Linked DNA regions of Drosophila melanogaster. Each later gene encodes a partner of the first gene's protein in a complex. Each region holds a gene or a part of one and is shown on either strand. Other genes may lie near its edges. A codon is read from its position in the direction of its gene.

Evidence for each region.
Region 2: the proteins of Cenp-C (region 1) and cal1 are in contact, whole or in part, in a crystal structure (PDB 6XWV), measured with the Drosophila melanogaster proteins. Residues at the interface, in NP_731254.2 of Drosophila melanogaster: Glu1302 (codon at 1,339), Ala1304 (codon at 1,333), Val1306 (codon at 1,327), Ser1307 (codon at 1,324), Glu1311 (codon at 1,241), Ile1313 (codon at 1,235), Gln1316 (codon at 1,226), Val1317 (codon at 1,223), Asp1318 (codon at 1,220), Phe1324 (codon at 1,202), Asn1326 (codon at 1,196), Thr1327 (codon at 1,193), Lys1328 (codon at 1,190), Lys1330 (codon at 1,184); in NP_650597.2 of Drosophila melanogaster: Thr890 (codon at 1,340), Leu891 (codon at 1,337), Thr892 (codon at 1,334), Glu893 (codon at 1,331), Leu896 (codon at 1,322), Ile899 (codon at 1,313), Ile900 (codon at 1,310), Gly901 (codon at 1,307), Arg903 (codon at 1,301), Trp904 (codon at 1,298), Lys907 (codon at 1,289), Tyr908 (codon at 1,286), Tyr911 (codon at 1,277).

Annotation. Positions count from the first base shown.
Region 1 is NT_033777.3:8,562,190-8,569,761, reverse strand, and holds Cenp-C (centromeric protein-C), read right to left. Parts: upstream 5,658-7,572; 5' UTR 5,508-5,657; coding exon 5,506-5,507; intron 5,434-5,505; coding exon 4,926-5,433; intron 4,865-4,925; coding exon 3,530-4,864; intron 3,467-3,529; coding exon 2,032-3,466; intron 1,963-2,031; coding exon 1,324-1,962; intron 1,253-1,323; coding exon 1,110-1,252; intron 1,044-1,109; coding exon 935-1,043; intron 875-934; coding exon 810-874; 3' UTR 514-809; downstream 1-513. Other genes in the region: CG31460 (uncharacterized protein), read right to left, coding at 6,398-6,819, 6,876-6,879; mRpS18A (mitochondrial ribosomal protein S18A), read left to right, coding at 7,254-7,350, 7,447-7,572.
Region 2 is NT_033777.3:17,086,317-17,092,465, reverse strand, and holds cal1 (chromosome alignment defect 1), read right to left. Parts: upstream 4,187-6,149; 5' UTR 4,065-4,186; coding exon 3,984-4,064; intron 3,927-3,983; coding exon 1,068-3,926; 3' UTR 528-1,067; downstream 1-527. Other genes in the region: cher (cheerio), read left to right, coding at 1-179, 242-426; GckIII (germinal centre kinase III), read right to left, coding at 4,740-6,149.

The DNA of each region.
Region 1 (7,572 bases):
AAAAATTCCGATTCAATTGTCTGTGCACACTCGGCGAAAATATGTGAACCGAGAACATGTGCAAGCATGTGAATATAAAATATTTAGTTTTTTAGCTTCCCATTAACATATTTTAAACCAATCAAGTGAACTAAAGAATATATATAAGATTATCTATATATAAAATCGTTCTATTAATTCCTTTTATTTGCAAGGTATTTTCCGGGAAACTCGTAATAGAGTGCGGCGTGTGGGATGATCAAAGGGTTGACACTGCTGTAATGAATGTTAGATGGTGTTTTGTTAATTTTAAACGATGTTCCAAGTCCCGTGTGGGGATGCAGGCACTGGCACACCTGCCGGAAAAGTTTCTGTTGATTCAATTTTTGTTTTGTTTTTTTTTTTTTTACAAATTTATGTTTGTGTTCCTGCTGCGTGTGATTTGTGTGTGTGCTTTTTTAAAAATTGCCATACAAAGCAGACGTGCAGATTGTTTTGAAAGTTGCCTGCTTATTTGTTCTTTCTGGCGTTGTTACCCCTGTTTGCCATTTCGCTTTTGAAGTCTCCAATGCCATCAACATCACGGCGAGCGACTTGTGAATTTCAAAGAAAATGGAAATAAAATGAACTTGAAATTCTAAGCAGCTAGGATATGACCCGAAGTTATGGCGTGGGTCTATCACCTTTGCTACTTAAAATACATGAAAAAACTATGTCGGTCTTACATATTTTAACAAAACAACTCTTTATTATTTTTATTTTCTGTGGCGAAAACGTAAGAAATATAAATCGGCTCAATACTTATCCGTATATAAATTACAAAGCAATTACTAACTGCGTATACACATCAGCACACTGACTTTATCTATCGCATTTTGAATACTATACCTAGTGCCTAAGGAAGAAAAGAAACATTCAAATAATATATAATAAATATTATTCAGCAATATCTTACCCCTATCTATCTCGATCATGTCACCAACACGCAGAACAGAATGGACTTCCTTCTCTTCGCCCACGGCTAAGGTCTCCACATTAAATTCGCCAAATTGCACAAGGAGTTTCTAAAAGCAGAATAGGTTTTAAAATGATCTGCGAGTTGAATGGGAATAATCTTATATTTTACTTACAAGTGGATGGACTTTCGCTTGTTTCATGCTACGTTTTTGGTATGGCTTGAATCGCATATAACCCAGCATTGCTTTCTCCTTTGTATTGTAGAAAGCGTAGTCGATACCATCTACCTGACAGAAAATCAATTCGTTTGCAGAAGCTGGCAATGAAAAATAGCAATTATTAATAAATAAGCTATATGGATTCAATTTCTATAGATTTTACACTTACAGACACTGGCGTTTTCATCCGACATACTTGCACTGGGTGGTGCATCGCCGACGCCACGCAGCCACTGCATCAGTTTAGTGGAGGCTTCTTCCTGCTCGTCTCTCAGGGGAGTTGAAAATACGACGGGACCTAGCGCAGCTTCCGTATAAGGCGCCTGCTCGTCAGGAACGTCAGGCTCTTCCTGATCGCTTGTAAGTGGAGCAACCGAAGATATCATAGGCTCTGGCTCTGGTTCTGGCTCAGCCTCCGTATCAGTTTGGACACCTCCAACTGCCTTCTTTGGTCGTCCCCTTTTCTTGGGCACCTTCTCAGCCTCTGCTTGCACTTCAGTTTCTTCCCACGTCAAGGTACTCAGGCCAAGGGATTCGGAATGCGGTATGGCCCCTGGCAGCTTTTCAGAAATTCTTGGGGTACTGCTGCACAATGGTCCCCGGTTGTCGGGTAAGTTCTTCTCTACAGTAGGCTTTGGCTTTGTGGCACTGGCTTTCTTCGCCTTACTCAAATTTCCCTTTTTCGTCTTTGAGTTTTTGCTGCGAGGCTCTATGAAGCCACTCATAAAGTTAAACTTGCTAGGATCCATGGTGTGACACCAACTCATCTGAAGTGGAACTTGACCGCGCTTTGATCTCCGAATACCGGCTAAGGGAGCAGAAAATAATAGAGCATACATTTAATTTTATCAAAACATTTATTATTGAATATACTCACTAGTATTTAGTTCCTCAGCTTCCACCGGCATTTTGGCCAGCTTTAATTTGTCTACTTCAGACTTCCCTTTTTTTGATTTCGCCCTTGGTGCAGGTGCCAATGGTTTCTTGAACACCACATCCGCGCTTGATTCATCCGGGGGACGACTCTTTGACATGTTCTGACTACGCTGCAAAAACTCCAACGCCGCTCTACTCGTGCTGGGTACGTCGTCAGACAAAAGAGTCCTACTGGGAGATGGATTTCTGCTGGGAACATCATCTGAGTTTTGATCAATCGGAGGAGTGGGTGTGTTAACGCGAAGTGATTCCATAACGTCTGATGATTTCTCGGTACATTCTTCCCCTCGATTGCTTAGAGCTACGGATTTTTCTGTACCAACTGCATTCTGGCGGGGATTTGAGAGTTTCTGGGACTTAGATGAACGATTGGCTAACTTATCATTTTCTTTGCTTTTTGATGCGTTCTGGTGATTACGATTCTGTTTGTTACAGGACGAATTCCAATTTGGATCTGGACCTTCAATACATTCTAATGTATGTGATGCCATTTCATCCTTATCGCTCTTTCTTCTAGTGACATTTTTATTTTGAGATTCCTCTTTTCCGTATTCTTCATTGTAAATTGGTTCCTCGTCACTGTCATAGTCTTCGTTATTTTCGTACGAAGGTGCAATAATTTGTTCCTTATTGGACTTTTGTACACTCTGTTTGGAGTGCTGCAATTTTTTTCCACTTCTCCTCAGTATACTTGCTTGCCCATGGTCACTATCGTCGTACTCTGGTGGCTCTGGCGGTTCACAATATTCTACTGCGTTATGTGTATTTCGATCAACAAGATTGCCATTTTTCGTCGATCTCCTTGATTGCTCATTGTTGCGATTCTCTTCTTCAACATATTCGATAGGAGGTGGTACCAGTTCGTTCTCCATCGCCCTTCGTCCATTCTGAGTGGATTGTTGAAGTTCTTTGGCTGTGCAACGCGGCTGGCTTGGTCGCTCATCATGTTCTTCTTCCTGGCCCCCTTCGTACCCCGGTGGAGGTAAAACCAGGTCATTTTTATTGCTCTTTCGCCCACTTGTGCTTCTGCCCCGTGTATTTACAACGTACTCTGGAGGCGGGGGAGCAATCTCAATTGCATCACTATTTACACTATCATGGAAATCTGGTGGGGCTGCCATCACGACATTATCGAAATCAAATTTTCCGGAGCAGGGCAGATTTTGCAAAGATTGCGAATAGCGCAGTGAAACTGGAGGTGGCGGAACAATTTGGATGCTCTTGCTTAGTCTTGGCAATTTTACAGGTGATAATGAATCGTTATCTTCATGGTCCGAGCTACCCTTTGTGTACAGACAACGCTTGCCGTCCTTTGAAGATTTGCGTCGAGTCTCTAAAGTCTGGGAGAGACCCAAATAGTTTACCAATTCTGTTGTCTGCAAAACGGGGAAAAAAGGTTTTTTTTTTCCTTCGCAACATATAAGCGATCTTGAACTTACCATTGGAAGATCACGACGAGTAGATCGTGGTCGCCCTCGTCCCTGCGATCGATCATTGCTTTTAGTTCGAAGACTTTGTGTTTTTGGCGGAACCGGTATATAGTCTTCATTCGAATCATCCGAGGACTGTTGTTTTGGCAAACCTTCGGCCTCATCCATTAGATTTCTACGTAGCAGCTCCCTCTGAATCTCTTCTTCTAGGATAAGCTTCTCTGAACGATGGTTTCTGTGCCCATTTAAAGGATATATCTCGTTCAACGAGTTGCGCTTGCGCAAATCCAAAATCTCGTAGTTGCTCATCCGGGTTAGCTCGCGGGCAAACTGCTCGCCATTAATGGGGGCACTTGGAGCCTTATTCAGCGGTATAGCAGTCTTTCGCGGCTTTGACTTTTTGGCATTGACCGACTTGTGAAGGTTAAGCAAGCGCATAGAGCTCTCCTGAGATTCGATTGTAGCTCGAGCCCGATTACTACTGCGCAAACGCCGTTGCCGGGTTGTGTTCCCACCTGAAGGAGCTAGATTTAATGGCACAGTGCTGGGATGTTCGTCGCTTTCGTCGTCGGTCATTATGGCATCCATATTTTCTTCCACCCGCGGCAGTTGTGCAATGGATTTCTGGGGAGAGGCAGCGGCGGATCGCCTAGGAGAAGGCGCAATCGGTGGTGAAGATAACGCCGTAACTGGCGAAGTCGGAACAGATTTCATTGCGACAGCGTCCCTTCTTACACTACGATTCGAATTGGATGTGTTTATCACCACAATTGGGCTGATCGCGCTGCGCGACAGAGTCTGCACCAACTCTCCCAGATCCTGCGGCTGGGTTTCCGGCACTACGAACTCCGGTTGGGGCTCTGATTGCCAGGCTGGGTCGTGACTTTGTCGCTCTGGCGTGTCCGGGACCATTAACTCCTGATTGAACCGCTTTGCCTTAACTACTGGCATTTTGCTCGGTGTGTCATAGCGATGTGATGGCGATAGCAGCAGCTGGCCTGGAGCTGGGCCCTTTTCCATTGTGTAGGTACGTCGTAGGCCCGCAACGGATGGTGATGACGGAGTAGGGGGTCGCGAGTACGGTGCCCGTCCAGAATAGTCCAGCTGCAGTACATTCTTGTGAAAGGAACTCTGTCGCTCTTTGCAGATTTGTTCAATTTCAGCTGCAAGAATAGGGTTCCTGGCAGGTGAGGTCACCTTTGTCTGCAGCGGATTTTCCGGCTCTGGTTCTTGTGATAGTTCCATAGGTTTTTCCGCTGGTTTATCAGTTTCCACTCTTGTTGTATTTTTGGCAACTTCCTCTTTTTGTTTCTCTGTGCAAGGTGTGCTGCTTATTTCTGGTAACTAAAAGAGCATTGTTGTTAGTACAAGGATTAGGTATTTGTGGGACATGTATTTAACATACGAAGTTTACAGGACTTGATATGCTGCGGGTCAAGTTTACGGTCTCCTCAAACTCTGGAAGCAATTGGCGTCCACAGCTCCTGGACCGCCGGCGGATGGCATGTCGACGTAGTTTATCAGATCCGGGTACATTTCCACTGCGGCGCATGGAACGTCGGTTATTGGGCGACAATGTTGGCGATCGACGCGGAGGCACGTTCTCATTGGGGGCCTGGTCCACAGGCGGCTCATTGACTTTCTCGGTGGCGGCACTGTTTTTGCTGACCAACTCCCCAAGGGGCTGTACTTCTGGTAGTTTGGACTTGGGCTTAGCCTGAGACTTCTTGATCAGTGGAACCTCGAAATCAAGGTCAAAGTCAAGTTTGAAGTTTCCAAAGAGATTGTCATTCTGTGCCGGCTTATTTTCGGCAAGCTTGCGCATCATAAAGGCGGCGAAGCGCTCCTTGTCCTTCACTGGCTGGCTTAGGATGTCGTCCAGCTCCAGAGTGTCGTTGTTCTGGGGCTTCGACCTGAAAAACAGACGGGTGAGCTCGGAGTTTGTATGTTCTCTTGCCTATGGCATGCTCGCGGTGGCAACTTACATATTTGCAATTGAAACTTGAAAAAAGGATTCTTCACGAAGTTACATACACGACAACAATAAACTTAACTTATTTCGCTAAAACTCCACAAAATTTTAAACTACAAAAAAGACGCGACGCTATTCATTTGGCGTTGCCAGTAACGTCTGTAGGCGCGCCTAGGTGGGGTGTTGCCAGAGCGCTCGAATAGACTATCAGAAAAGAGCTATAAATATCTAAAAGTTTCTTTGATAATAATAAGACATCACCCTGTATAATTACAAATGCATGATGCAATCGTTTTTAAACAGTTATTGTTAAATACAGCTGAGTTTATTTCAAAAGTTTTTATTGAAAATATACTCGAAAGCGTTGACCAGCAGGCAACCATTATATGCAGTATTTCATTACTAAAATATACTAAACGCGTAAAACGCAAGCTGGTCACACTTTGCCGGCAATTTTTGTTGACAAAACAAATCCAAAATGTTTAAAGCAAACTAAACCGACTTTTCAGATTGATCTATTTGTTCGAATTCACTTTATAACAACTGGAAGCAGCTTTGAAAAGCAACCAAAAAGTGGAGCTATACATTTTCTGCGAGAAGGCATGCAATAGAGACGCTGTGAAAACGACTTTGCGTTCGAGGTTTTGATTCTGTTGGAAAAGGATTACGATATCCATATAACCAGAGATTGGAGTTTTTTAACTGAATTCATGAATTCCCAATAAGATCCCCTATTCCACAGCACCAATACTCAGTAGTATAAGGCTGGCCAACTGTAATAATGGAGCTTGGATAGCTTCAAAGTGACCGATTGACATGACTTTATAAGTTAGTTATTTATTAAAGGTTATTAAAGATTAGGTATTCGAATGTGTTAGTAATGAAATAAGAAGCAGACGAATGGTTCATTTGAACTTCTTTCCGCCCTTTCTCGTCGTAGGAGCATCCACGCTGGGCACCTGAACGGAGTAATACTTCGTGGAGATCCTGTTAAGGAAGTAGAGCCCCACCAGGGAAAAGAGAACACTGGTGGTGGCGCAGACACGATGCACGAGTCCCGCGGCGGCCACCGTGAGTGAGAGACAGAAAATAATCTCTGGTAGCAGCTTGGCCTGGAAGTCCTGGCCGAAAACAACCATCTCCGCGTTGGAGACGCACGTGAGGCTCAGGATGAACACCCAGGAGAAGAGGTATCCGCCCAAAAGGACCCTCAGCTGCGAGTCGTTAAACCATTCTGAGCAGAAACGCAGTGTGCCGAACAAAACAATGCTCAGGAGGCCCGAGATGATGGAGGATACCACGGTGCTCTTACTGCTCACTGAAGCGGCTGCAAAGGTTCAGAGTTTAGTTTTTGTTGGCCGTAATTTCCTTGCATTTGCTTACACATATTACTTTTTCTTCCAGCCGGCGTCTTTCTTATACGTGTAGTGAATTATCGAACTATCGAAACTGATATTTGATAATACAAGGGATATTCCAGTATGTAACGACTAAACAAAGTTTTATTCGTTAGGCAGGCATTTTTCTCTATTTTTTTTACGTATTTACATGAAAAATTCTCGAATGACAAATTTGTGCTTGCAATAAAAATAAAAACAGATATCGTTATTTAAATACTGACATCGATAATTTTTTTTGAGAAGTAATATTTAAATCAATTGATGTGGCAACGCTGCGGCTTTCGTGGTGAATGACATTTGTAGTAACAACATTACACTTGAGCACAATTTTAATAAATTGTAAATAAAAAACGCCTTCAACATGTCCTTTGTGTTGCAATTGGCCACCAGGACAGTACGAAGTACCATTGCTCAGGTGCGTGGCGTAGCCACCACAATGCCAAGGCAAATAAAAGAGAGTGAGTTACAGAGACCTCTGTGAAGTGTTTCATAACCCCTCAAATAAATGCACATCTTTAAAATTAATTCGAATTTCTGTTCAATGCCTGTTCCAGTTCATGAGAAGCAGGAGAACAGTGTAAAGATCTTCGAGGGCGTTAATGTGGAATCGCCGCGTGCTCACCTGATGCTTAAATCCGCCTGCCAGACCAAGTTTTGCCCGGAATGCACCTTGGGCCTGG
Region 2 (6,149 bases), 8.5 Mb from region 1:
GGAGACGTCCACGGTGATCGTGGAGACCGTGCAGAAGGTGGCCAAAGGAGGCAAGAACACGGGCGTCCATCTGCCCACCTTTAAGTCGGATGCCAGCAAGGTGGTGTCCAAGGGTATGGGCCTGAAGAAGGCCTACATTGGCAAGCAGAACCAGTTCAGCATCAGCGCCACCGATGCGGGTGAGTAATATTCATACCCATTTTAAACTTGATGTTATAATATATCCTGCTTTTGTTAAAAGGCAACAACATCCTGTACGTGGGCATGTACGGACCAAAGGGACCCTGCGAGGAGTTCCACGTGAAGCACGCTGGCCACAACAACTATAATGTGCAGTATCTGGTGCGCGATCGCGGCCAGTACGTGCTCCTAATCAAGTGGGGCGAGGAGCATATACCCGGCTCCCCATTCCAGATCGATGTGTAGGGCGCTATATAGCCGGCCAGGCATATGTGTACGTGTAGATATATGCTTCGCATGTGTATGTGTGTGGGCGCGCATGTTCCAGGGTCAAAAGTCGTGTGTTTCTTGTTTTCATCATAACGCTCTTTGTTTAATTTTAATTTCTTGATTTATCATCATATTTTAGGTAAGTTTTTGTTATTTGTACATACATGGAAGGAAGAAGCTTCTGTTTTTCGACGCGCCATTTTCACTCTTTAAATTGATCTTACGTTTTATTTGTTTTCTTGTGAATACATAAAATTAACAATTGCCGATATGAATTTTGATAGACTTCATGGAAACGAACTAAAGCACAACTTCGACACACAAGAATTACTATTGCAATGCGAATAAATCTCTTAAACAATTATTTAATACTTAAGCGAAAAATTTATGATGATTAAAATGATTATGACGTATTATGTTTTCTATTATCACTATCGATCATGTAATTTACGTGAAATAAATCAAAACACAAAAAAATGAACTAAATACAACTTTTCTTATATAATTTCTTTTGCAAGGACGTGTTTAACACCACCAAGAAATCCGTCATGTACAACCAAAACATGAACCTAATATATTTAAAAAATAGGTCTGAAATATGAAACCTAACTACTTAATTACTTGTCACCGGAATTATTCTCGAGTATGCTGTACACCGTTCCATATCGATTGATTTGCTCGAAGATGTCATCATCGCTTGCACTTGAGCCCGAGATGTTCCCGATGTTCTGCGCATCCTGCGGTGCACTGAGAGCTGCGGCGAGTTGGGGAGTCGGCTGATAGTAAACCGAGTGTCGGCTATCAAAGCTCCGACTGCCGATGTGGTACTTCAGGTACTTGCGGGCCCAACGTTCTCCAATAATCTTTCCGAGTCCCTGCTCGGTCAGTGTGAAGCTGGCGCCTTCCGGCGCGGAAGGGCTGTGCAGCAGAATGCCGCGCTTGGTGATCTTGATGGTCGCTGGAATCTCTTGTCGTTCACTTGCAGGCGGTTCGCAGCCAGTGGTAGATGTAACTACAGTGCAGTCAGGATCCCCGCCTGTGGGGCTGCCCATCTCTTCCAAACTGCTCGTTGGGGAGCTCGAGCTGTTCGTCGCTGTCTTCTCCTCCGTAGTGCTAACAGCGGCTGCCCTCTTGACTCCTCGTCTCTTGGGAAGCACGCGGTAGCAAGCCGTGTCGTTGGCCAGAGCTGTGGAGTTGCACGCTACGCTTTGATTGTTGAATACCGTCATTGATTTCTCTGCAGGTGATTGGGGCTGCTTATTAGATGGCTCCCTTTTCGTTTTTTTGCGCTTCTGTTGTTCCTCCTTGTAGGTGGCCTTCGACATAGCCAGGGCTATTTGCAGATCATCCTCCGAGTTTGATGCCCCATCACCACCTTGCTTTAAAATGCTTGCCGTAGTTGAACATTGTGGTTTAGGTTTTGCCAGTACTTCTGATGATACATCGGACTCCTCTTCCCTGACTTGCTCTAACTTCGAAGTCGAAGTCACAGAAGAAGTTGTTTTCGTTTTTTCTGACTTTTTCAATCTCGAAGTAGACGGTTTTCCGGTCGCACCTGTCTTTCTAACTGACTGCTTTTTTGCCTTAGCTGCAACTTGTTTTTCAGATAAGGTTTCAGTGCTGTTTTTTTCCAGGATTTCGTTGTTAGTAATAATACTCTTTGGAATTTCGGACTTTTTACCAGAAACCCTTTTCTGTTTGGTAGACTTTTCAACGGCAGTCTTAGTCGATGAGTTCTCCATGTGCATGAAATCCTTATTTCTGTCGTCGAAAGATTCTCTTCCAATACAATTATCCACTTTTTCCATAAGACTCGATGCCTTTTCGTCAGCTATAGGGATTGTTGATATCAGCTGCTGTAATTCATTTCCGTTGAGTGGTGAAGTTTCCCTAATACCCCTCTTAGGCGCTTTCTTTGCTGGAGATTCAAATGTTGCAGATGTACCACTTGATCCGTCAATAGATACGCTTTTCATATGAGCAACTGGAAGATACGTGGATTCAATTGGAGAGTTCGTTGCAGTCGGCCCTTCTTCTTGTATTTGTGCCAAACCATTGGGACGCGCTTCTTTTCTTATAGCCTTCTTCGCCGAGGAAGTAGGATGGGTAATCTTACCAGCGGCATTTGGAGTTGGAAATGTCATTCCTTTTTTTTTATCCGAACAGCATAGCAATCCTTTTTTAGCCAAGGCGTTATCTTCATCGGAAGACTCACTATCAAACATTTGCATATACTTTTCTTTCGATAAGACCAATTTGGAAACAGAGGTAGCTTTCGAACTCAGTGGCTTTTGTTCGTGACCTTTGGAGCATACCGGTTGATGACTAACTTTCCTGGCATCCATCGGTTGGTGCTTTTGCTTCCTAGTCTTTTCCTGTGTCTCCTGGGTCAAATGATTACTTCTGTTCTCCACCACCCACTCTTCGGTTGAGCTATTGGCAATGTGAATGACATTGGAGCATAGGCGGTCACTATTGCAGCAACTACACTCGTTCTCTGGCAGCCTTGGTCTCAAGTCCATTTCCATATCGAAGGTGTGTTGGCGGCGCATGGTGTGCATGGTTCGAGATGCCATCTGACGGTGGTGATACTCGCGTTGACCTCTGCCGTACGGGCAGGACTGGTAGACACTTCTAGACAGAGCGTAATGCCTCCGGCAGGAGTGGCAGTCGCAGCCGCCGAATGATGTATCCTCCTCGCTGCTGGATGCCGAGTCAAACATCCAGGAGTTTATGCGCCGCTTACGCAGATTCTTGCGTCTCATATGATGGCCGCTGGAGTAGACGCATTGCATCGGCGTAGACGCCAGATATGCAAGCTGGCGCTCCCTCTCACGTCGGCGAAGCAACACGGCCTGCATGTGGTGACGATGCTCCTGCTCGTCACCATAGGCGTACTTTGCCCGCAACTCGTCTCGTTTGTGAGAGTGTTTACGGTACATCTTAATGGTGGTCATGTTCTTGTTGGTCATGTGAGCATTGCGCCGACGACTCTGCTGGATGTAGCGAGCCGTGTCGATGGAGTGCATCGATTCGTCGCTTTCGTCTGAGATTGAGTTGTGGTGCGGTGGAAGGTACTTTGGTGGTGAGGCCTCCAGGTAGACGCTGTTGTGCCTTCGCATCCAGCGGCCCACATGGTGTTCGATCTGCTTTTCATCAAAAGTGTCCAGAATGCGATCCAGTCCCGCCTCCCGCCACTTGCGCTTGTGCTCCTCGACCACCGGCACCGTTTGATTAAGGATTTCCTCGATCTCCGCCTTTGCCTCGTTATCCTCATTGGCGCAAAGTATAAGTGTCAGTTCTGTAACGCTGGTGGCGTTGATATGGCCCATTTCAAGCTTTGCCTCGTCGGGCACATTGTCCTCCACAGCCTCCTTTGCCACGTCATCCAGGTCGGGGTCCTCGTCCTCGCCGTGGAACAAGTTGTCGAACTCGGCCACATCTATTTCCATGCCGTCTTCCAGGCTGGCAAAATCCTATAAAACAATATCGTCCATCAAGAAGAGACGCCACTTGGGTTTCTACGGACTCACCGCCATTTTACTGGACCAGGCCTTAGAGCGCTCGTAGACCATTGCCTCCAGTGTTTCCTCGTCCACCACCGCATTCGCCATGGTTATGTAGTTATCAGTTCACGGAATACTTGATTAAAATTTATAAAAACTAAAAGAAATCTTAAAACACAAAAATAAAGAGTCAACAAAAATGGCGTTGCCACTGGTGTTACCGTCTCCAAGGCGCCAAAAAATACACCAAAACGCGACTTAACTAAACACGTCCCATTTTTATTTATATAAAACAAATAGAAAACTTGGGTTCCTCATTTCCAATAAGGTCGTTTTGATGTTCTATTTGCACGGCTTTTTGATTATAATTATTATTTATTTAACGATATCCTGTTTATTCAATTTATTTATTTTTTTATTTACTGCATTTTTCGCTAGCGTCCAGCGTTGCCAGATCAAATGAATACTCGGAGTCACCAATGATGCCAAGTTCGCATTAGCGCGCCAAAATCGAATTGTTTATTTTTGTGGGGTTTTTATTTTGAAGTTATATATGTTTTACATTAGATTAATATTGCAGATAAACAAACGAATACATATTATATGCTTAAATAACTGTTCAATTGAAATACATGTACATCGCTCCCGGTCCTCTGTTGGCCACTAAATGTCGGAATATGTCTGCTCCAGCGTTTCAGTTTGTGTTGTCTCGGTGTCGTTAATAAAGTTGTGTATATATTAAAATAGGCTGCTTGGAATCGGAATTTGCTACGGCTTCGCCAGCTACTTGCGGTTGCGTATGGCGCGGTCCATGATCGTATTGATTCGCGTCTCCGAGTAACCAGGAACGAGCATGTGGATCAGCTCTTTCATAAATAGGTCGCTCACTCCCGGACTGGAACGTTCGGCCAGCTCGAACACAGACTTCAGGTCGCCGATGTCGCTGCCGACGCCTATGTTACGGCCGCCTGATCCTCCGCTTCCTGCAGATCCTCCGCCGGAGTACTTTCGCTGGATGTCGCTCAGCACGGGGAAGAGGAAGTTGTTCAGACAGGCGCTGTTCGTTTGGACTAGGCGTTGTCCCGCCCCAGAGTGCTTGACATGGCTGGCATGGTTGGTGGCCACATGCTCCTCGTGGCTGTGGTTGTTGCTACTGCTGCTGCAGCTGGCAACCAGCGCGGCGTTATTTGCATGGAATGATTCACGTTGGCTGCTGCGGCGCTGTTGCTGCTGCTCAGCCGTCGATGGAGTCGGAACCGACGACTGCAATGGCAGGCCCAAAGAGGCACGGCGATCCTCTACTTGATCCAGAGGGGCGGCGGATCGCGACTGGCGCAGCTCCGGCTTCGAGCTGGAACGCTTCTGCTGCAGCTCACTGGCCGACGACGAGCTTGTGACGCTGCTCGGCGGAGGAGCTGCGTTCAGCATGGTGGTGGTGGCATGCTTGTTGCTCAAGTTTCTGATGTTATTGTTGTTAATGTTGTTGTGGTTGTGGTTGTGGACGTGACTGTTCTGGGGGGGCAGGGCGGATGCAGAGGAGACACCTTCGTTGGCTGTAATGACCGATACGGAGGAAGCTGACGCCGCCACGGCGGACACAGAGGACGATAATGCATTTGCAGCAGGGGACGCTTGCACGCCACCACCGCCGGCTGGCGAGTGTGTGGTCTGCATCAGCTTCTGCATGGTTAGCTCGTGCTCCTGCAACTGGAAGCTGTTGACACCCGCCCGCGGAGCACTGTTGATATGCAGGCCCTTGACGGTCATGATCCAGGGCTCATCCTGGCTGCTGCCGCCCTGCTTGGCGTCCGAGTCCGAGTCAGAGTTCTCAGACTCCGTCTCACTTTCGTCGCCCTTGGAGACCTTCCACTTCTTGAAGCGGTCGATCAGGTCAATCAGATAGGCGTTCTTCTTGGCCTTCTTGATGAACGGGTACTTGAGCAGCTCCTTGGCCGTGGGCCTGTTCTCCGGGTCCTTGTTTAGGCAGGCCTCCACAAAGTCCTTAAAAGACTTGGTATAGCTGCCCGTCAGCTGGGGTGGATTGTTCTTGGGGATGAGGAAGAGCACGCGCATCGGATGCAGCTCCGAATTGGGCGGCTCACCCTTGGCCAGTTCGATAGCCGTGATGCCCAACGACCAGATGTCCGCCTTGGCATCGTACTGTGACTGCTTGATCACCTCGGGCGCCATCCA